2 linked regions of the Alligator mississippiensis genome follow. The protein of the gene in region 2 purifies or fractionates together with the protein of the main gene of each other region. This does not show direct contact. Links are inferred from orthologs where the notes say so. Each region holds a gene or a part of one and is shown on either strand. Other genes may lie near its edges.

Region 1 (10,607 bases), on a different chromosome or scaffold from region 2:
CAGGACCAGCCTCAACTACATCATCCCAGCCACGGCTTTGTCTTCCTGGGTCTTCAACACCTCCACGGATGGAGACTGCACCGCCTCTCTGGGGAGCCTGGTCCAGTGCTTCACTGCCCTCCTCATGAGAAAGTTTTTCCTAATATCCAACCTCAACTTCCCTTGCTGCAGCTTGAGCCCATTGCTCCTTGTCATGCCATCTGCCCCCACTGAGACCAGCCCAGCTCCAGATCAGAAGGTGGATTTATAGAGTCTTAGAGCCGTGGGGCTGGAAAGGACCTGCAGAGGTCACATCTAGTCCAACTTCTGCCTGTCCAAACCATCCCAGACACATCCATCCTCTAAACTCTTCAACCCTGATACAACACCAGACATCACACTCGAACCTGCCACAGGCAAAGCGGGGGGGTCACGGTGATAAAAGGTTAACATACACTCAATATAGTCGTTCTGGGTTGGTTTGGACAGGCCGGGGTTGGACTAGATGTGACCCCTGCAGGTCCTTTCCAGCCCCACGGCTCTCTGATTCTATGATTTTATTCAGTCCCCACATACCCCATGTATCTCCTGTGCCAGGTTTGGCTGTACTGTCCTGCCTGTTGTCCTTACGTATTATGCTAGTTTGTACTGAGTCTGAACAGCCTTGAATAAATGCCAGAGGTTCGGATGAACCCCAGTGCCTTCCACAGAAGGCCTTTAACTGTTACCGCTCCTACCCTGCCTTGCAGCCTGTGCTCAGCCAAGCTAGCCCTTCCCTACTTGCATCGTACCCCAGGGGCTGCAGACAGCGCAGGTTGGTAAACCTAGCTCAGCTCCCATGGAGGTGGCGTCTCTGGGCATGGGGTGTGAAACTAGTATCACACCTGCTTACAGGAGACATCCAGACCCGTGGCAAAAGAATTGGGCAAGGTGGAGTCCCCTTCTCTGGAGGTTTCCAAGAGGAGGCGCTGGGCAGGGAGGATTGAGGACTGGTGCAGTGGGTTGGACCAGACGATCCTTGGGGTCCCTTCCAGCCCGGTGATCCCGGGAGGCAGACAGGCTGCTGGCTTCCCCTGCCGTCCCATGGTAAGGCGTAGTAGCAGCAGCTGTCAGTGTGAACCGTGCCCAGACAAGCTGCACATCATCCCCATCTCCATCCCCAGTCAGCCTGACCAGCAAACACCTTCCATAAGGAAAATTTAGCAAGTTTGGGGATGGGAAGGGGTGGGGATGGCTGTGCAAGGTGTGGGATAGTCTGATATCGGGGTGATACGGCTGGGACGGGAACCCCCAGATCAGGATGTGGAGCAAGCTCCTGGTACACAACAGCTTAAGACATTCAAAATCCAGGTGGGAAGTAGGACGACATTGGTTTTAGGCCTGTATAGAAGGAGAGTTAGAAATGACGGGGACCTGGTACTAGCCCAGGGGAGCCTACATGGTGCACTTTGTCACGGGCACACGTGTGTTAACGCCTTGTGCAGCAGATCACAAGTGTGTTATGGCCGTGCCTTGAGACAAGAAACCTGGCTGAGCCTTTGCCACCGAACCGAGCCCGTGGTAATTTAAGAGAGGACTGGTGTTGGGATCTCCTGGCTGTGACGCAGCCCGAGACTTCGATAATGCCCGGTGAGGACAGCGATGAGCGAGCCCCTGCCTCTCCGAGCAAATTAGTCTCTGAGGTGCCACCCTGCCCTGCCTTCTGCTTGGCAAGCCGTGGCGCAAAACCAGCCCATGTTCCAGCAGGGCGTGTGTCTGTCCCTGCCCTTAGATGTGCCAGCACCACGGAGAGAAACCGGCCGGTGCCCGGAGCAGGGCCAGCTGTCTTGGTTCTCCCGCTGGGCACCTCTCCAGGCCAGGACCTGGCAGGATGCTTCCCTGTGGGGGCTCTTGTCCGGCCCGGCTTTCCTCGCCCCTGCACGCAGGGAGGAGAGGCCTGGCCCAGGCACCCTGCGGGGCAAGGCGTAGAGCTGGGGGGCGTCAGCTGTGAAACACTCGGCCAACACCCCGGGGCTGTTGTGCCAGGGCTCTGTGTGCGTAACGGTGCCACGGTGCCGGATGGAGGGCATCCGGGGGCAGTCTGCAGGGCAGCGTGCAGGGTCTCTCCATCCCGTGCGGGTGTGTGTCTGTGTGTCCCACGGATAGTGGGGGGGTGTCACTCCTACTGTTAGTGGGGTGTGTGTGTCACCCCCACTGATAATGTGGGGGGAATGTGTCACCCCCAGTGATGGTGGGTGGGTGGGTGTGTGTGTGGTTGTGGCTCTCAGGGACAGTGGCGTGTGTCTGTGTATGTTCCCACTGACAGTGCTGCACGGGGGTGTTAGTGTGTGCATCTCCCAGGGACCGTGGGGTGCGTGTGTGTCAGTCCCACTGATGGTGTGTGTGTGTGAAAGACACTCCCCTGCCCCACAGCTGGCTGGGCCGCCTGTGCTGCAGGGCAGGAGGTGTCGGCAAGTGCATCCTCCTCCACATTGCCCCCCGGTGCAGTGGCACTGCCAGGCCCCCATCACGCTGGGCACTGCCCGAACCCCAGGGCTGGCGGGGTGCTACGCTGAGCTGCTCCCAGCGTGAGCGAGGTGGTGGAGAGGACCCAGGCTCCCTGAACCCGTCCGCGAGGCCGTGTGGCACCTGGCTGGTGACGGCACCATGTGGGAGCGGCTTGGCTGGGACGTGGCGTGGGCTCGTGGGAACAGCCAGCAGGCACCTGGCAGCCTCGGGGAGCTGGCACGCACACGCCTGGTCTGCGCTGCCATCTGCCAGGCAGACAGCAGTGTGTCACAGCAGCGCCCATGGCTTGTCACGCCGAGAACGCGGCCCAGGGACAGCACCTGGCAGAGGGGAAGTAAGGGGCTTGCTGCTCCCCAGCTGGCTAGTGCCAGGGCATCCCGGCTGGGGGTGGCACCAAGCAGGACTGGTCTCAGTGCGGGAGACGACAGGACAAGGAGCAATGGGCACAAGCTGCAGCAAGGGAAGTTGAGGTTGGATATTAGGAAAAACTTCCTCACTAGGACGGTGGCGAAACCAGCTCTCCAGAGAGGCACCGACCTGCCTCGTCCCCAGCCCTGAGGACGATGACTCCAGGATACATCTGAGCACCCCGGCCCGGGGGAGTCTCTGCGCAAGGTCTTGCAGACTGTACCAGGCCCACGTCTGAACTCAGTCAGTTGAGTTTCCTTTGTCTCTCGTGGCCAGGGCTCTTCCAGACTCCACACCTTTCTTGCAGCTCTTCTCTGAGCCCCGCTCAGTTTATCCATATCCCTCCTGTGGGGCTGGTACCAGAACTGTGCCCCGGGTCTGACTGGTAATGGTCTCACCGATACCACATCCGCGCCCTTCCCCTGCTTGCACCTCAACGGCTTAATCTGTTCCTTGCTGCGCTGGCAGCCCCAGCGCTCCTTGCTTATGAATCACGGTCCCCAAATCCTTTTCAGTCGCTGCCCTCGAGGAAGCTGAACTACAGCCCTTGCTCCTGGATGTGCACGTGTGTTTGTCCATGTTCAGACAAGGAGCTCAGCTCCCCGAGCAATCCGGGTTGGGCTGCACAGCTGCCCAGTTACCATTTTTAAACATCAATTTACCTTGTCTCTAAGTTTAATGAGCTATTATTTTCTTCTGGAATAGGGTGAATGGGGGACTGATCTGTACAGGGCTGGACTAGCATCTCCCCACTGGGTGAAAATGATTTCCCAGCTACTTTTTAAGTCCACTGGTTTATAATCGAGGTACTGTGAGCTGCCTTGGAATCGCAGAGCAGGAGGGTGGAAGGGAGCTCAGGAGGTCACATCCAGTCCAACCCCGGCTCCAAGCAGGACCAGCCCCAGCTACATCATCCCAGCCAGGGCTTTGTCTACCCGGGTCTTCAACACCTCCAAGGATGGAGACTCCTCCACCTCTCTAGGGAGCCTGGTCCAGTGCTTCACCACCCTCCTTCTGAGAGAGTTTTCCTTTATATCCAACCTCAACTTCCCTTGCTGCAGCTTGAGCCCATTGCTCCTTGTCCTGTCGTCTGCCCCCATGGAGAACAGCCCAGCTCCATCCTCTTTGCACCCCCCTGCAGGGAGGTGAAGGCCGCCGTCAAATCCTCCCTCGGTCTTCTCTTCTGCAGACTCAATCAGCCCAGGTCCCTTGGCCTCTCCTCACCAGTCCTGTCCTCCAGCCCCCAACCATTTCCATTGCCCTCCACTGGACTCTCTCCAGTGTGTCCACAGCCTTTCTGTAGTAGGGCCACAGCTGGACACAGGACTCCAGATGTGGTCTCCCTGGTGCTGAATAGAGGGGAAGGAATCACTGCCCTCCATCTGCTGGCAGCGCTCCTACCGATGCAGCCCAGGACGCCGGTAGCCTTCTTGGCACCAAGGGCACACTGCTGGCTCCTGTCCAGCTTCTTGTCCCCTGTCCCCCCAGGGCCTTTTCTAAAAAGCTGCTGCCCAGCCCGTCACCCCAGCCTGCACCGGTGCAGGGGTGCAGGACTTTGCACTTGTCCTTGTTGAACCTCATGCGATTCCTCTTGGCCCAATCCTCCAGTGTGTCGAGGTCTCTCCGAATCCCAGCATTGCCCTCCAGCGTATCTACTGCTCCCCCCAGCTCGGTGTCGTCTGTGAACTTGCGGAGGGTGTGCCGCATCCCATCTTCCAGGTCACTGATGAAGATGTTGAAGGAACCCGGGCCCAGGACCGACCCCGGGGCGCTGCACTGGTGTCCGTCTGCCTCGACTCGGCACACGCTGGCTTTTCACACCCCGCACGGCTTGCCCTGCCCTGCGCCTTGCAGGAGTCGAACGCAGGAAGCTGCCAGTCTCTTTGCGAAGCCGACGCGTCCCCACAGACAGCGGCAGGAGTAGCCGCGCTTGCCGACGTGCCGTGACGTGTGCTCCCCGCCGTTGAGTGATGCCTGCCCGTGGCCCACAACTGCTCTTCCACCGTGTTGTGCAGAAGCGACATCCCTTGGCGCTGCCACCGCCCTGTCCCTGCTCCCCAGCGCAGGGCCGCAAGGCACAACCCCTTTGCCGTGTGTCTGAGCACCCTGGACAGCCGGTTCAGTGCCAGGGGCAAGGGCCATAAGCACCCTGGGTGCAAGAAGGGGTGCACACCCCTCAGCCTGTGCAAGCCCCTGCCCCTGCATGGCCCTGCTGCACCCCTGCCCTGGGCCCTCGAGCCCCTGCAGCACGTGTCTCCCTAGAAGGATCAGCAGGCCTGTCAATCATCGCGCCGCCTTCCCTCATTGGCTGACTCCCTGGGCAGCAGCCAATGGAGCGGGGCTCACTAGGCAGAATGACGAAAAGGGCGGCCCCCACGGGCCGATTTTTCCCATTGGCGCATTTTTCCCATTGGCCGATCCGCGCCGCGTTGCCGGGCAGAACAACGCACCTGGCTCCGCGCGCACCCATTGGCGGCGCGGGACCGGGAGCCGTTGGATGATTGGCTCTTTTTTCCCATTGGCGGAGGCGCCCCGGCCCCGAATTTCCGATTGGGCGCGGCCGCCGGTTGCTAGGCAGACTGCGGCGGGCGGAGCTTCCCCCGCCGATGAGTCGGCGCTGAGGCGCAGTCAGAGCCGAGCGCCCGCAGCTGCCGCCGCCAGAGCCCGAGCCCATCCCTGCCTGCCGCCGCCCGCCACCGCCGCCATGGCCTCGGGATCCGAGTGAGTGCAGGGCCACCCCTAGGCCTCTCCCCGCGCCCCATTCTGAGGGGCCCCCGCGCATGCGCACTGCCACGCGCACCCCGTTCTGAGGGGCCCCCGCGCATGCGTACTTCCCCCGCACCCCGTTCTAGGGGGCCCGCGCGCATGCGCACTCCCCCCTCCCTGCACCCCGTTCCGAGGGGCCCCGCGCATGCGTAGCGAGGGCCGAGGCCTGGGCCCGATCCCGCTGTGTCATGCAGGCCCGGGAGGGGGGGCGGGCCCGGCGCTGCTCCGCCCCCAGGTGGGGGAGGGGCGTGCGGCCTAGGCCTTGGCCTGGTGTGCGTGTCCCACGGCCTGAGCCTGCTCCTGCTTCCTGGGGGGTGCAAGGGATGGTTTTGGCCCACGCTGAAGCCACCCCCCTGCTCCAACTCATCCTCCTTTGTCTGCCGGGGCCTCAACCCCCCCAAGGGTGGAGCCTGCACCCCTCCTCGGGGGAAACCCCTTCCTCATTTAACCTCGACTTTCCTTGCTGCAGCCGAAGCCCATTGCTCCCCTGTCCTGTCCCGCGCCGCGCCGCGCTCTTTGCAGCCCCCCAGCAGGCTGCCGTTCGAGCCCCGCTTTGGTCCTCGGACTTCAATAAATGTTAGGGGTTCGCCCGGCCGGCGCCCCTAGACCAGCTTCGGGGGGGAAGCCGCGTCGCGTGCGCGGTGTTTGTGTAAATATAGCCTTCTCCGTGGAGCAGCGAACGGGCGCCCGGCGGGAGCGATGCGGTCGAATCGGTCGATGCGAAACGGTTTACCGGCACGGAGAGGTCGAAACTCGTGTCAGGTTCGTTACGGAAAGCCGGCCTCCGCCGGCTCGGATACGACGTTGTCCCGTCTCCGTTCGCCGGGCGACGTCGCTGTCAGGAGACCGGCCGACCGGCGCTGGAAACGTCTCTTGTGTCCCCCGCACGTGGTCGCGCTGCGAACCGTACCGCAGCGCAGCCTGGGTTGCGTCACCTACGGGGTAAAGCAACAGCTTTACCACGGGGCAGATGATCGGCGGCATCATCGTTAAGTCTTTTTTTTTTCCCCTTCTCTTTTTGGCAGACAGAGCTTCCCTTGTAAAGGAAGGGACGGGGGTCTCTGAATGGGGAAACGCGGGGTTTAGGGCTGGGACCGTTCTGCCCAGAGCTGGGATCGGGCACTGGTTGGACTGCGCCGCTCGGGGGGTTACGGCCGGACCCCTGGACGGCGCTAGGGAGAGGGATGGGCGCGTGCCGTGCGCGCTACGCTTCGGACCTACGCATCTCTAAAACCAAAACGGCACGCCTGTCGCAGGCCTCCACGAGAAAAGAAAGCGACGATTCGTGCGTCGGCACGGGGCTTTTTGGAGCTGTCAAGCTCTCGGTCCCTCTGATTCTCCTCTCTGGGTGAAGCAACGTTTTCACTTTCGCAAGAAGCCATGATGCGACCCGCCTGACTTCTCACTTCCTTTCTGTGCGCCCATTCATCCTCCACCGCATTTCTGAGCTGAGGTGGCTTGCAGCTGGCCCCGTTCGTCTGGATGAACACGTGCCAGCATTTGGCATCCTCTCCAACTGTTAGTGCACCCAAGCCTTTCGCTCGCTGTGTGAGCTGCCGTGCGCCCCGTAACCTGCTTCGTCTGGCTGGTAGCGTCTCTTCTCTCTGGATTGTGCAAGTTCAAAGTCCTTCAGTGTGAAAACTCTCTTCCTCTGATGAATTAGCTCATGTTGACTCAAGTTAGGTGTCACCTGCCAGCGTGTTGCTCAACCCCCGGTGCGCTGAATGATACTTGAGCCTTCTCACAATCCTTCCCAAGTTTTTCATTTCTCATCGCTGTCTTGTCTCTGAGCTTCAACTCGCTGCCTGTTTCCTTTTCTGTTTTTGTAACGTATACGCGATGCCGGCCCCACAGTACCAACCCCAGACCCCCGCAGCCAGCCTTTGTGTCCTAAGAGACAGGCTGTGATTTGCAGTGGTGCCTTGGGTTGCTCCAGTAGATCGAGTCGTATCAGAGGGTCCTCGAGTGTACGTGCTCTGTACAGGGGGGGCATGACTTGCATTCAGGACTCCTCCCTGGTTGGAGAGGACTGTATCCCTTCTGTTGCAGAACTTGTGCTGGCTTTGTTCCCTGCGGTGATGTCACTTCGCAGCGCTCTCCATTAGCCAGCCTGAGGCTTGCCATCGATCGCCTCAGTACCACAGCGAGCTTCTTTGGTTTCTGACTTACAGGATCTCTCTTGGCTCCATCAAGTTCGTGGCTCTAAAGTTTAGCCGCTCTGAACTTCCCATCCTCCAGAGGAGGTGTGGCTCATGGAGAGCCTGCATCTCATTAGCTCACCTGTTGCTTCACCTGATGAGCTTAGCTGGCTCCGTAGCTTGCACATCTTGGGTTTCTTGTTTCGCTGTGTTACGATGGTCAGGACTGCCTGGGTGGGCTGCTGCTGCAATCAGTCCCATCTACAGTCACAACCAGCAGCCTCCCTATTTCTAATGAACGTCTGTCTGGGAATCGTGTGTGGCAGGTTCAGAGCAGCGCGTTGACACTCCTCCCTTACCTGGAGAGTTGAGAGGAGCAATCCAGTTATGAAGGAGCCGAAACACGCTCTGGGAAAAGTGACTTGTCCAGAGCTGCCCACACAGAGGCTCCTGCTTCCTGGTTCAGTAGGGTTTTTCCTTTTAGAATAGCTCTGCCCCTTTCTCCTTGCTGAGTCCTGCCTCTTACTTCCTAATGCTTTGCTCAGGCCAGCTTCCCAAACTGTTTCTAGATGGGCCAGCTGCCTTCATGTTCATCCTGTGAGAGTCTTTCTGAAGCATCAGGGTAGGGGGTCACTACCTCATTCGTTATCTGCTTCATCATCGCATTGGTGTGACTCTCCGGAGACCTCGCACCTGTCTGTCGCAGTAAAATATCTCCAAAAGAGCCCCTGAGCCTGCAAACCAAAGCAACGGGTCTTCCCCAGGCAGCACTCCTCCGCCCCGCACCTGCCTGCTGCCCTCCGCCTCCTCCCCTCCAGCCTGGGGCTCGCCAAGCTTTCATTTCCCCCTAATGGACTTGTCTGCAGCCATCCTCCTGGTCCAGTAAAAACCTGGGCTCCAACCCTCGGCTAAAGTGTGTTACTTTGGGGAGGCCTTTTATTGGAACCAAGCCAGGCTGTGCATAATATCATTGCTCACTCATTTATGGTATCTCTGAACCATCCAGAGGCGTCAGCCACACATTTAACAACACAGCATTAAAATCCTGCCCTGTTCTTGTCCCAGAACTGCCTGAAACTTCTGCAACCTTCTCCAGAGCATGGATTCAGATTCCTTTCTCTTTTAGTCAAGTATCTTTTGCTGGATGCATTATAACGTGAAACAAAAGCACTTTATAAATCTACTGTTTCACCCTTTTTTGGCCCTCCTGCTTTTCAGCTCACTCAGTTTGGACAGGACAAATGAAGTAGTTGGTTTCATTTCCCTTTCTCTAAGGTGCAAGTGAATGCTGCAAGGAAGCTTTTGCTGTTTTCGTGGACACTTGCGATACATAAACATTTCTGCTATATTTGCTAGCCTTCCCCAAGCTAAGCTCCAGTCCTCATCCAGTTTGGTGAACTGTAGCATTGTCCTGTAACTCCTCTTCAGCTGGGATTTGTGACCAAATGGGTTCTACCCGGTTGGCTGCACCCATGGTATTCCCTTTACATGTCATTGCAAATGTTAATCTTGCTACAATACCTTTGTTTTTAGGCAAATACATTCCAGTCAGGAACATTTTACTGAGCTGTACCCATTTTCTTAACTGTCTTCGTAGCTGTTTTAGTTCCAGGCTAATATAGTCCCTGAAATAATTTTCATATAGAAGATGTTCTTGGCATACCTCTTGCATTGGTTACCCTGTAAATGGTATTGCTCTTTGCCTTTCAAAAACCAGTGTAACTTCTAACAGGCAAAGTAACAAGAAGAGTTTATAGCTTGTATAGAACAAGGAAAGCAAAGTAGAGTATGGCTAGAAAAGGAGGAGCCGTGTCCAAGCTAAAGAGTCCTGTGTTTTCCTTTCCAGTTCTAAAGGAGATGACTTATCAACTGCAATTCTGAAGCAGAAGAACAGGCCCAATCGGTTAATTGTCGATGAAGCCATCAATGAGGACAACAGCGTTGTATCGCTGTCCCAGGTATGTGTCACATAAAGCAAAAAATTATGTACTTGATATGTGAATTATGTCTGTGTATTTTGGTCTGAAACTGAGTATTTGGTGAGAGGGGTTGAGCATGGGTTTGCTCCATGTAAAATGGCACGAAAGCTTAAGGGGAAACAACACTTGAGTGGTGCTGGGTAGAAATGAAAAGGAACTGTCTTCTTGTCTGTAAGCGTTTTGATCAAATATTGTGATTCTAGAAATAATGCTAGTGGTCAGTCGAACAGAAGGCCTGGCCCAGCTTCAGGGTTGGCAGTTGGCCTGCCATAGTGTGTCCTGTGGCACTTCATGACTCGTTCAGCACCTTCACTGTCAAGATGTAACACTTAAATCCGGTTGTTTTCTCTCTCAGACCATTACATTCCTGCTTACTCTAATGTTGTCATTGTTCACAGGCAAAAATGGATGAATTGCAGCTGTTCAGAGGAGACACTGTTTTGTTAAAAGGAAAGAAGAGGAGAGAGGCAGTCTGCATTGTCCTGTCAGATGATACCTGCTCAGATGAGAAGATTCGCATGAATAGGGTGGTTCGCAACAACCTGCGAGTGCGCCTGGGTGATGTGATCAGGTGAGGGCTCCTTTGCCAGCATGGTGCATCCTCATGCATTAGCTAAGCAGTTTGTTTAGCTGGCTTCGTGCTAATTTGGTCAGTAACCGAGGGTGAGGCTTCACTAAGTACACAGGGTCTCTTAGAGCACATCCTGTGGCTGAGGTTTTAATTTGGTTGACTTTAAACCACGCTGCTGGCTCTTCAGATCTGTATAATGCAGCTGGTATCTTCCTTTTTTGAAACTTGCATACATGGCTCGGGAACACAAATCGTACC
Region 2 (10,279 bases):
GAAAGAGCGAGGATTAATGGGAGTGAAATGTAGCAACGTTATTGATCACTTTTCACATCCAAAACAGTACCTTTACCTTGCATGTTTCAAGTCACAGAGGAGAGTGAAATTACAAGCCACAGTGTTGTTTGAAAGGTCTTTGGTTCCAAAACAGAGAATGTTATTTACAAAATTCTCTATGGAGCCCATAAAGGTTGTATGTTCACCTAGCAATAGCCCACTTGTAAGATCTCTGTTAGATGGATAAGGTAAAGCCCCAAACACATGAACAGATACCATGAAAGCCAGGTTGGCCTCATTCAGGAAGTCATACAACACTTCACAGAAAAAATAGGAAGTTGTTGATAAACTACTAGACAGAACAGCTTCCTACAGGAGAAACCAAGACAGCTGGGGTGAACAGTAACTGCTTCCTCATACTAGAAAAGACGACAGACTACTGTATCTTTTTTGCAAGAATTGCATGTACTGTGTTATACAAGTTAAAATGATATAAATATTGATTATAAAATACATGCATCACATGTATAACATACGGTTCTTCCCTTTTCCAAGTGGCTGATCCTGAACTACCATATAGTCTCTCTAGCGCACAGAATGATTTTGTAGATCTTTCTTCACGGTTAATTGAAATGTCAATTTATAGCCGGATAACAGGAAGTGGTTCAAAAACAATGAAGCTGACATCTCCCCACTGACCAATACTGCCATCTTTATTGTATGTTTAAGAACCGTCTAAGTTCTTGTGTATAATAGCATGAAGCTGACTAAATTCCACCTCCTGACTAACCAGACTAGGCTTTTTTTATTATTATTATTATTATTATAACTGCTGAGTTCCGGTCACAATTTCACTGAAGTTAGCAACTTTTAACAAAGTAGGGAATTCTACTAACTGTAACAGGAATATATTACACTGAAGAAAAGACACATTCATAAAAACTCCTAGTTTTGAAAGTACTATGAATATTAACTCATTAATAGTGATGAAACACTGGCAAATCAAGTATTGGTCAGAAATTTAAATTTGTTCATATATAGATTTATCATGCTAAAACAGACTATTACAAGTCTGACTAGATAGATGCTGGGATTTCAAAAACTGGTTCACCCAGAATGCTATTTAGTGGTATTATATTAATGTGTGGTCAAACAAGACATTTGGCTGCTTCAAACTTCTTCTCACCTGCCTCTCCAGTGATAGCTGCTGTATTTGTAGTTCTTGATTCCCCTGTGGAAATTTCCGTACTGGATTTAACTGGCTATAGTGCAGAGTACTGTGATAGCCAGGCATCATAGGGAAAAGTGATAATTGGAAAGATCTTCACAACTGGAAAACACACACCTAATATTTTCACCTATTCTTTAGAAAGGTATTTCTTGAAAAGCCTGGTCTTGTCTGGTCTCTAGGAGTTTCTAATGAATGAGGAAATGGAAACAAAAAGCACCACTGCCAATCCAATGAAGAAGCTAAATACCTGGATGTGGAGCAAACACCATGCAGAGGGAACCAGTTTTTTAGAAGCAAAATGTGCTCAGCAGCAGAAATCTAAATATTTACTTCATTAAAATTAAGCTCTCTCAAAACAAAAAAAAGCATATATGTGCTAAACACACATTTTATTTTTAATCATAGGAAGCAACAGTTTTAAGCAATTTCTGAAATACAGAACTGCTTTGTTAAAAGAAATTCTTTACAAGCTCTTGGCGCTTTCCAAATTTAGGAAGCAAAGTTATAAAGTTAGTAGAAATACTTCTGAACTGCAACAAGGCTAGCAGATTCCACTTGTAGATGGTATTTTAGGCTGTATTAGGGGGAGGGGAGGGAAATAGTTCTTCTAAGCGTGAACAGAGCCTTTAAAACTGTCCTCAGACTCTCCCAAACCACAGCATCACCCAAGGAAAGCAAAAAGAAAACAGCCTATTAAGCGGTTTAAGATCTCCCAAGGTCAGCATGTGACCCAGCAGGGAGAGGTTCAAAAAGTACAGCCTTTATTTTTCTTCCTAACAACCTGGTTTGTTTCCACTCTTTTCCCCTTCAAGACGCATCCTTCACAGCTAGCAGCTCTTTCAATCATTTACTTTGGATGTCTGCTTGAGAACAAACGATCTTGCTCATGCAGATGAGTTTGCCAGACTTGTGTGTACTTTCCAGTCTCAGGCTCTTTATTGTTCTTGCTGAAACCTGACTCTTTGAAATGGATACCAAGACACCAAGACAGACAAAAAAGAAAACTTGCAGGAAAAAAGGAAGATTTTCTGTAATAATAGCGAAACTGTAGAAAAGCTTTCCAAGATCAAATCCTTCCCTCTGCTTTCACCTAAATGAGCATAATTAAAGAATCAATTATAGGAGTGCAAGGATTTCTTTTCGTCTACCACAACAACTGTAATGCTCCCTCTATAAAATTTAAAGCATCGATCTAAATGCAAATAATAATTAGCACTACAGATAGAGCATTTTTTTTTTTTAAATACCATCTTTGTCGTGTTCTATTTAAGCTAGTTAAGAGTATAACGAGCATAATATACAAGTTTTGGAATTATATGAAAACTATGTTTTGCTCTTCAAGGTCCAGTGGGTCACATTCTCAACTGGCATAAAACTGCCTAATTCTAACAGTGAAATTAGGCAAAATATTTCATAAGAACAAACTTTGTGCTTCATAGGAAACAATGGTAAATCTTCAAGGGGGCTTCTTCTATGGGCATTGAATTAGGTCCCTATTTCATTCTGAGCCATAGTGCAGTTACATGGAAAGCATGTCCCAGCCACAGATATTAAGGTCTTCTGCGAATATAATTTCAGGCTTGGATATTTTATTTCAGCAAATGGAACCACAAAAAAGTTTAGAACACTTTTTAGACTAGCAAGGTAGTAAGAATATAATTTTTTTTTAATGCTAGTGGTTCCGTCCCTTCAAATCTGAAGTGACAAATAATATGTTACTTGAAACCTAGTGATTGAACGAGAGTTGTGCACACACTTGCAAAAAGGAGGACAGGCTTCTGCTGTTTTAGAAAACTCTACAGAGCATCTCCTGATGGATGACATGTCAGAGTGCTGGCATGTGTAACCTCTTCAGCAAGAGAAAAAGTTATATTAATTTCACTACTTTAAAAAGCCAAAGTAGTGAAAACAAAAAACATTTAAGAATTCCAACATTCACCTTTCATTCCAAAGTTAGTTTTAAGAACTACAGGCCCCATCAGGTTCATGTACCAATAAGACTTCATAGGAACCTGACACTGTACTTCCAAAGAAAAAAAAAAGTAATCAGCAGTCATCCAGTATTCTCACTGCAATACTGCTGAAAGTTTCTTAATCTTTGATATCCATTTTCAGCAATTTTCCAAATACTGACCCAAAGTATACCTTTAAATGACCTTGCTTTATTGTACTCCAAGTATTAAAGTTACTATATGTTACAACAGACTTAAAAACACGCCCAAAAATAACTAATCCAAGATGAGACATGCCAAGAATGAGGCATGTTTCTCACACCTAGGCATAACTTTCAGGGTTCAACATCTACACCCCCAGTTCAAATCAGATAAAGAGCTATACTACTGAAAATCATGACCCATAGTTTTTAAATGTATTTGATATATTAAAGGGGCACATATTCTTATATACACAAAGGTTCTTAAACATGGACAGTGAGCTTCGTTAAAAAATGTAACCTTGTTTTTTATAACTCTATTTTACTTACTTAAGAAAGTATCTCTGGCCAGATGGTGTCTTAGCCATTTCCCAACCTGGTGGCAGAGGAACATCATCGGGGATCTCAAATGAGGACTGACGGAGATGTTGAGAAGATGAGGCAGGTCCAGGACCAGTCACTACTCCAGAGGGGGTAAGGGTCCCCGGAGAGACAGCTCCCAGCTGCAGCGAAGCTGGAGATGAATGAGCTCGGACATGCTGAGGAGTCAAGGCTCCGGCTGAACCTGCATCAGTGCTGGCCTGTTGGGAGTAAACAGTTCCCATTAAGATACTTCAGCAGAAACACACCTACTTTGACCTTACTGAATTGTCTGCGAGAGACTCGGGTATAAGAAGTTGTTTTCAAACTTCTGACTTGTTTCAATGCTGTTAGCTCGTCGCTCAAAGCAAGTTAAACAAAGTCAAAGCAAGCTTTAAGCTGTTGCCAGGACATGGGGAATATAAATTATCAACCTTTCTCGTCTACCTTTTGTTGTTGTAAACTTTGAACGCACAAACAAAAAGCCTTACAGTTTTCTGAGCAGGATCCCATCTCCCCCGCTGTCATGCCTGATGCACCACTGCCCTGAGCGTTGCATCATGGTTCCCAACAGAGCATAAACGACCATTTTGATTCGGTAGCATTTGACACGCATCTTGCAAGGAGCAAATCCAAAAAAAAAAAGTGAGCTGCACCCCTGGTTCCTTATAGGCATCAGGGGCCGAAATCCCCGTCCACTTGAAATCTAGTCCCCACCTTGCCACAAAGGGACCAGGAAGGCTATTACTGCCAGCGTGGGCAGGAGAGTCAAGCCCTCCAAAACTTCTGCTGTGTGCGCGAGCGAGCAGGAAGACCCTAGCTACTGCGCCGCAGGCGGGGAGCCCTCTTCCACTGGCACAGCTGCGACAGCGGGGCTGGGACATGGCACCGGGCCACGTCCCAGCCTGGCAGCGCGCCTCCTCCCCGCAGCGGGGGCAGCCCCCGGGCTGCTTCGACCCGGGCCCAAAGCCGGGCTCCCCGGGGGCGCCGCGGAGGGGCTGGGCGGGAGCCTCACCTGGCGGGAGTGGGCCTTGGGCTCGGGCGGCTTGAAGAAGGAGTCGGGCAGCTTGCGGAGCCGCATGGGCAGCGTGTGCGGCACGTTGGCACCCTTGGGGTTCATGACGGCGTTGAACAGCGCCTCCAGGTCGGTCTCCGAGTCGCCCCGCACGTGCACGATCTGGTGTCCGGCCGGCGGCGGCCCCGCGCCCGGGGGCTGCGCCGCGCCCGTCCCGGCCCCGGCCCCAGCCCCGGCGGGCTGCGGCGGCGGCTGCGCCGGGGGCTGCGCCTGCGAGGGCGGCTGCTGCTGCTGTGAGGGCGCCTGTCCCGGATCCATGGCTGCTGCTGCTGCAGCGGCTCCGAGCCCGCGCCCGCCGGGGCTCCCGCTTCTGGCCGCCCCGCGAGCCCGGCCCGGCCCAGCCCAGCCCGGCCGGCGCCTCCGTCCCGGCGGCGGCGGAAACTAAGTCGCGCAAGAGGCCAAACAAAAGTTCTGAGACGCACCCGCCCCGCCCCCTCCCCTGTCCGCGCCCGCCCGCGCCGGGTCCCGCCCCGCCCAGCCCGGCCCAGCCCCGCCAGGCGCTGCCCCTCCGTCTTGCCCCGCTCGACACGGCGCGCCCGCTCGCTGTCCCGCACACCCGGCCCGCCCGCGTCCCCGGACTTCGGCCCGCCCCTCTCACTCACTCACCCACCCAGCCCGCCTGCCCGCCCGCCCGCCCACGCGGGCCGGCGCTGCCGGGACGTCCGTGCAACGCAAAATTAAACGAGCGAGAAAACTTTGCAGCAAACTTTCGGCCTCGGGGGCGGGGCGGGAGCGGGGGGCGGTGCCCGGCGGGACCCGCGTGACGCGCCGGGGGTGGGGGGCCTGCACAGGGACCGGCTCGGGCTGGGGCTCCCGGGTGGTGCGGGAGCGGCCGGCCGCGGGGACAGACGGAGACGGAGGCGAGGCGAAGAGAGGAGGTTTATTGTGGCCGGGCCCGCGCGGAGTCAGCGGGCGGGCGAGGCGGCCCCGGCGCAGTGGGACAGCACGTGCACGTGTCGCCGCCGCGGGTCCACACTGATGTAGGCGAAGCTCAGCCGGTCGTGGCCCGGGAAGCAGCTGCCGTCCGCGCCCTGCGGGGACGAGAGGAGGAGGCGGCGTGAGGCGCTGGGCCCGGCCCGGCCCGGCCCTGCCCCGCCCCGCCCGGCCGGAGCGCTTGACCTGCTGCCCTGCAGCTCCTCCCTGCCGATCGCTCCCGCCAGCTGTTCCTCTCCAGCCTTTCTGGACCGATAAGGGTAGTGCTGTGCTGAGCTGCCAGGCGGCTGAAAGCCAGGACAGCCCTCGGGCACCGACCCCACTGCCTCGGGCCCAAGACGAGATGTCCTCCCCTTGCATGGGGGAGCCCCTCGTCTTGGAACCGAGCAGGGCAGGAGAGGGCTGGGTGTCTGGCTCTGACCGGTGCTGCCCCTCTGCACTCTCTGCTCTTCTGCACCCCTGCCACCATCTCCTGCTGTGGCTTGGAGCATGGCTCCGACCCAGCCCTGTGGCACCAGTACCCCACCTGCACCCCATGCTCCAGGCCCCAGGCTGCAGCATGGACAGAGCCTGCCAGGGCTGGAGCAAAGGTAAGTAGGAGGGGAAGGGGCTGGGGAGGTAAGAGGGAGTAAGGGCCAAGCACAGGGGTTGAAATAGGGGGAGGACAGGTGGTGGGGGACAAGCTGCTTGCTCCCTTCCACCACCCCCACAACACCTGCTTTCTCTACTGCCTGATTCCTTACTCCCTGCTCTGCCATGTATAGACTCTAATTATTGTGGGGGTCATCTTCAATTCACGGTTTTGGATTTGAGTAAATAATGTGATTTCCACCAAAAGTGCAGTTCTATAAATCACACTCAGCTGCTGCCTAGTCCTACAAGCACCTGTCCTGTAAGTTGTACATTGAAGTCCTTCACTTCTCAAGTTCTGTTACTGACCATACCCCAAAGTGCTTCTATCTTAACAGGGCTGAGTAACTTAGCACCTGCCTCACCTGAGCATATGGGAGATCTAGAAACCAGGGCCACTTGCACCTTGCTTTAAACCCGATGGGCTCCTGCACAAAGCCCAGCACATGTCCAAAAGAGGCAGCACATTAGTTGGACCTGGCTCACCCAACATCTGTATAGATCAGGTGCTTTAGTGGGGCTTTTGGGGCACTTTCATCTACTACCTGATTGACTTAGCTTTAGATGAAAGCACGAAAAAGCCCCGCTGAAGTGCCTAATCTATACAGATGCTGCAGAGCTGGGTGGAAGTAACATGCTGCTGCTTCTGGGGAAGCAGTTTTGGGGTTTTTTTTAAAACATCTGCAAGCAGCCCAAGAGTACAGCTACATGGGTCCAACCATTATGTAGGGATAACAGCGGCTTTTGCATGCTAGCTCCCAGACTAGAAGCAATATAGCCATGTCCATGCAGCATTGCACCTGAGGTAACTAGCTTTGTTTTTAGACCTCTGTTAATTATTCCAGGCACTGCATGAGCAGAGTTACTGGTATACTACATCCAGATAGCCTTGGATTTCTGCCTATCTCTTAGTAGATGTTTTCAAAGCGTTCCTAAGAGGCTTTACAAGTGAAGGGGCAGGTACTTTTTTTTTTAATGCACGTGTGGGGAATGGGGGATGAATGCTGCTGCTCCCCTCGTGCACAATTCAGGCTCATGCAAAAAGTGGGAAATTTAGATGAACCTAGGGGGACTGAAACCTCCATTTATCCTCTTGCAACTATTGTACTTTAAATAAAATAATTCAACATGCATTGGGCCAAAGAGAGAGCATGGCTCTACCCAGATGGTTAAGGCACTCACCTGGGAAGAGGAACTTGGATTATAGTTCCATCTCCATTTTGTCCAGTCCACTGGTGCCCTTGCATATGATGTGAGGAGCTTCCATGGGGCAGATCCTGAATTTTGTAAAGTGGGGGGAGGGTACAGGAGCAGCAACTACTAGCTGTACCCCAGCTCTCAAATTCTCCCCTACTCCAGCAGGACAGGTAGTCCATGCCATAGGAACACATTTTTAAGTGTTGAAATCAGGTAAGAATCTTCCCTCCATGCTCAGTGGCATTTCCTCTCCCCTGCCCCCTGCTGCCACTGTCCCCACTATCCAGCTGTCCCAGGGAAGGAAGGAGCTCCAGAGCCTCTCCTGCCCTGCTGCAGCTGGGCTCTGCAGGGAGTTGGGCTTAGCCAGGGATAGCAGCAGCAGTGATGGCAGGTAGGGTCTGCCTCCATAAGCCTGCTCCCAAGCTGGCAGAGTACACGTGGGAGTCCTAGGCAGAGAAGAGGTACTCATCTGGTACCACCACTGCCACTGTCCTGAACTGAGCCCAATTCCCTGGGCAGCCTGGCTAAAGTGGGACAGCAAAGGCTCTGGAATTTCCCCCTGCTCCTGGGGCACCTGGGGATAGCACTAGTGGTAAGCAGCCAGGGGTGTGGGGGAGGAGGTGACATCCCACTGAACATGAAGTGGAGGGCAGGAGAGCAATTATTACCCAATTTGAGGATTTTAAAAAAGAATCCCTGGCTGCTGCTCCCACTGTGTGGTTGGAAAACGAAGTGCAACTGGGCCCCTTTGGATCTGCTCCTGGGAGCTTTTCAGTTCATTTTAGCTAGACCAAATTTCTTTCTTTTTAATTAAACTAGTTTAAGACCAGTTTTATCTACATATATCAGTGCCTCATCACTCTAGTATTAGGGTGTCTTATACATAAATTAAGAATCTGCAGTTTTAAGTTCAAACAGGTGGTGTGTCTGCAACATGCACTTGATGTAGTGATGCCAGAACTAGATCCAAAGCTGCTGGCTTTAGAGAAACACAGATAATCTGCTGATGATTTCAGACAGCATATGAGAGAAATACTGTGGAAACAATTATACTGTTGAAGATCTCTTCAAGAAAACATGTAACACTTTATCAATAGTCTTCTAAAAGAACTAGGGAATATGTGTTTTATTACAGTGATGCCAACAGCACTGATGGGCTGATTTGGCATTTAAGAAACTCTTTTGTTATTATTTAGTATCACAATTGTTTCAGATTTCTTCATGGTGAAGTTTACTTATACACAAACACTGAACATTTTAAACCATTCAGAGTTCAGAAATATACACTGTCATAAGATTTCAAATACTTCCTTTTCCCCTTTTTTTCCTCTGTGCTCTCTGTACTATGAAGCTGTATACATATATATGTAGATCACTGGTTTTCAACCTTTTTTCATTTGTGGACCCCTAACATATTATGAATGGAGGTGCGGACCCCTTTGAACTGTAAATGTGGGTATTCACATACTTTTGATTGAACATAATCATCTTTCATGGACCCCTTAGACATAGTCTGCAGACCCCCAGGGGTCCATGGGCCATAGGTTGAAAACCACTTGTTTTGAATATTTTGTTCAAGATCAGATTATTACATTTAAAAAGCAGTTTTAAAGCAGATGTAGTACTAACTTATAGCAGCACTTTCTAAAATTATGTGTTTTAATCACCAACTTTCACATCAACATGTTGTCAAGATAATGCTTATAAATCCAACAAGCATATGGAACAGATAGGTATGAGATTGCTCGGCATGTTACTAAGACAAAGCTCCAGCTCTTTTTTTATCATCTAAACTAGTTAGTGTTTTGTAGAGACTGATCTATAGAAGAGGACTAATTAGTGAGTCAGGGTCCAGGTAAATAGGAAGTTATGTTGATAATGAAAATGCAGCCAAAAGATATGAGGAGGATTTTATCTCCTTTTGCTAAGGACATGTATTCATCATTTGTTATTCCAGTCTGAGGAACGGGGGTTCTGTTAGATTCTCAGCTGCTGTTACACTATCAGATGGCACCAGTGACCAGGATGAGTTTCTTTTATCTCTGTCAGGCTAAGTAGATGCGACTCTTTCTTTCAGAAGTAAACGTTACAAATATGATCCGTGCCTTTTTCACCTTAGATTAGATTACAGTAAAGTACTGTGCACAGGGCTACACCTTAAAGTCAACTCAGAAACTGAAACCAGTGCAGCTTTGATTAGTAGAGTTTCTCATCAAGAGCACAAAGTCAGTTATGCTCTAGGATCTGCACTATCTGTTTCATATTTTTTCAATGGAGTTTAAGAAGATTTGACTGTACATTTAACTCATTTGAAACTTGCTTATTCAAACAAGCTGCGCCTCACTCCAGGAAATGACCTCATATATGTAGGGACTGGAAATCCTGAAGCTGGAGTCTCAGGTTTATAAGAGGAAGTTGCAGCCTGTTCTCCTTACAGAGCCCAGAATTTTGGAACATCCTCTCCCTTCATCTAAAATAACCCATATTTGCCAAATTTTACAACCTGCTGCAATGCCAGTTCCCCCCCCTCAAACAAGAGCAGGGTGGATTTTTTCCCCCTATTTATTTGTTTTCCAGAATTTATAAATTGCTCAATTAATCTTGCTTGTTATATTGCTGATATTTTTAATGTATGGCAAAGGAACCTAGAAAGGCCTTAAATGTTTTACCTAAATCTGAATAAACATAAATATAAATCTGT

Evidence for each region. Proteins that work in one complex are often made in the same cells at the same time.
Region 1: the proteins of YAP1 (region 2) and VCP purify together in Homo sapiens (affinity purification with mass spectrometry, with the first as the bait; 3 studies listed by BioGRID). This does not show direct contact. The link is inferred for Alligator mississippiensis from reciprocal best matches to the Homo sapiens genes YAP1 and VCP.

What each region holds. Positions count from the first base shown.
Region 1 is NC_081826.1:300,916,560-300,927,166, reverse strand, and holds the start of VCP (transitional endoplasmic reticulum ATPase), read left to right. Parts: upstream 1-5,504; 5' UTR 5,505-5,599; coding exon 5,600-5,616; intron 5,617-9,645; coding exon 9,646-9,757; intron 9,758-10,176; coding exon 10,177-10,349; intron 10,350-10,607. UniProt on the Homo sapiens protein: Necessary for the fragmentation of Golgi stacks during mitosis and for their reassembly after mitosis. Involved in the formation of the transitional endoplasmic reticulum (tER).
Region 2 is NC_081824.1:441,909,070-441,919,348, forward strand, and holds the start of YAP1 (transcriptional coactivator YAP1), read right to left. Parts: upstream 5,208-10,279; 5' UTR 5,077-5,207; coding exon 4,759-5,076; intron 3,965-4,758; coding exon 3,714-3,964; intron 1-3,713. Other genes in the region: CFAP300 (cilia- and flagella-associated protein 300), read right to left, coding at 5,724-5,849. UniProt on the Homo sapiens protein: Transcriptional regulator with dual roles as a coactivator and corepressor. Critical downstream regulatory target in the Hippo signaling pathway, crucial for organ size control and tumor suppression by restricting proliferation and promoting apoptosis.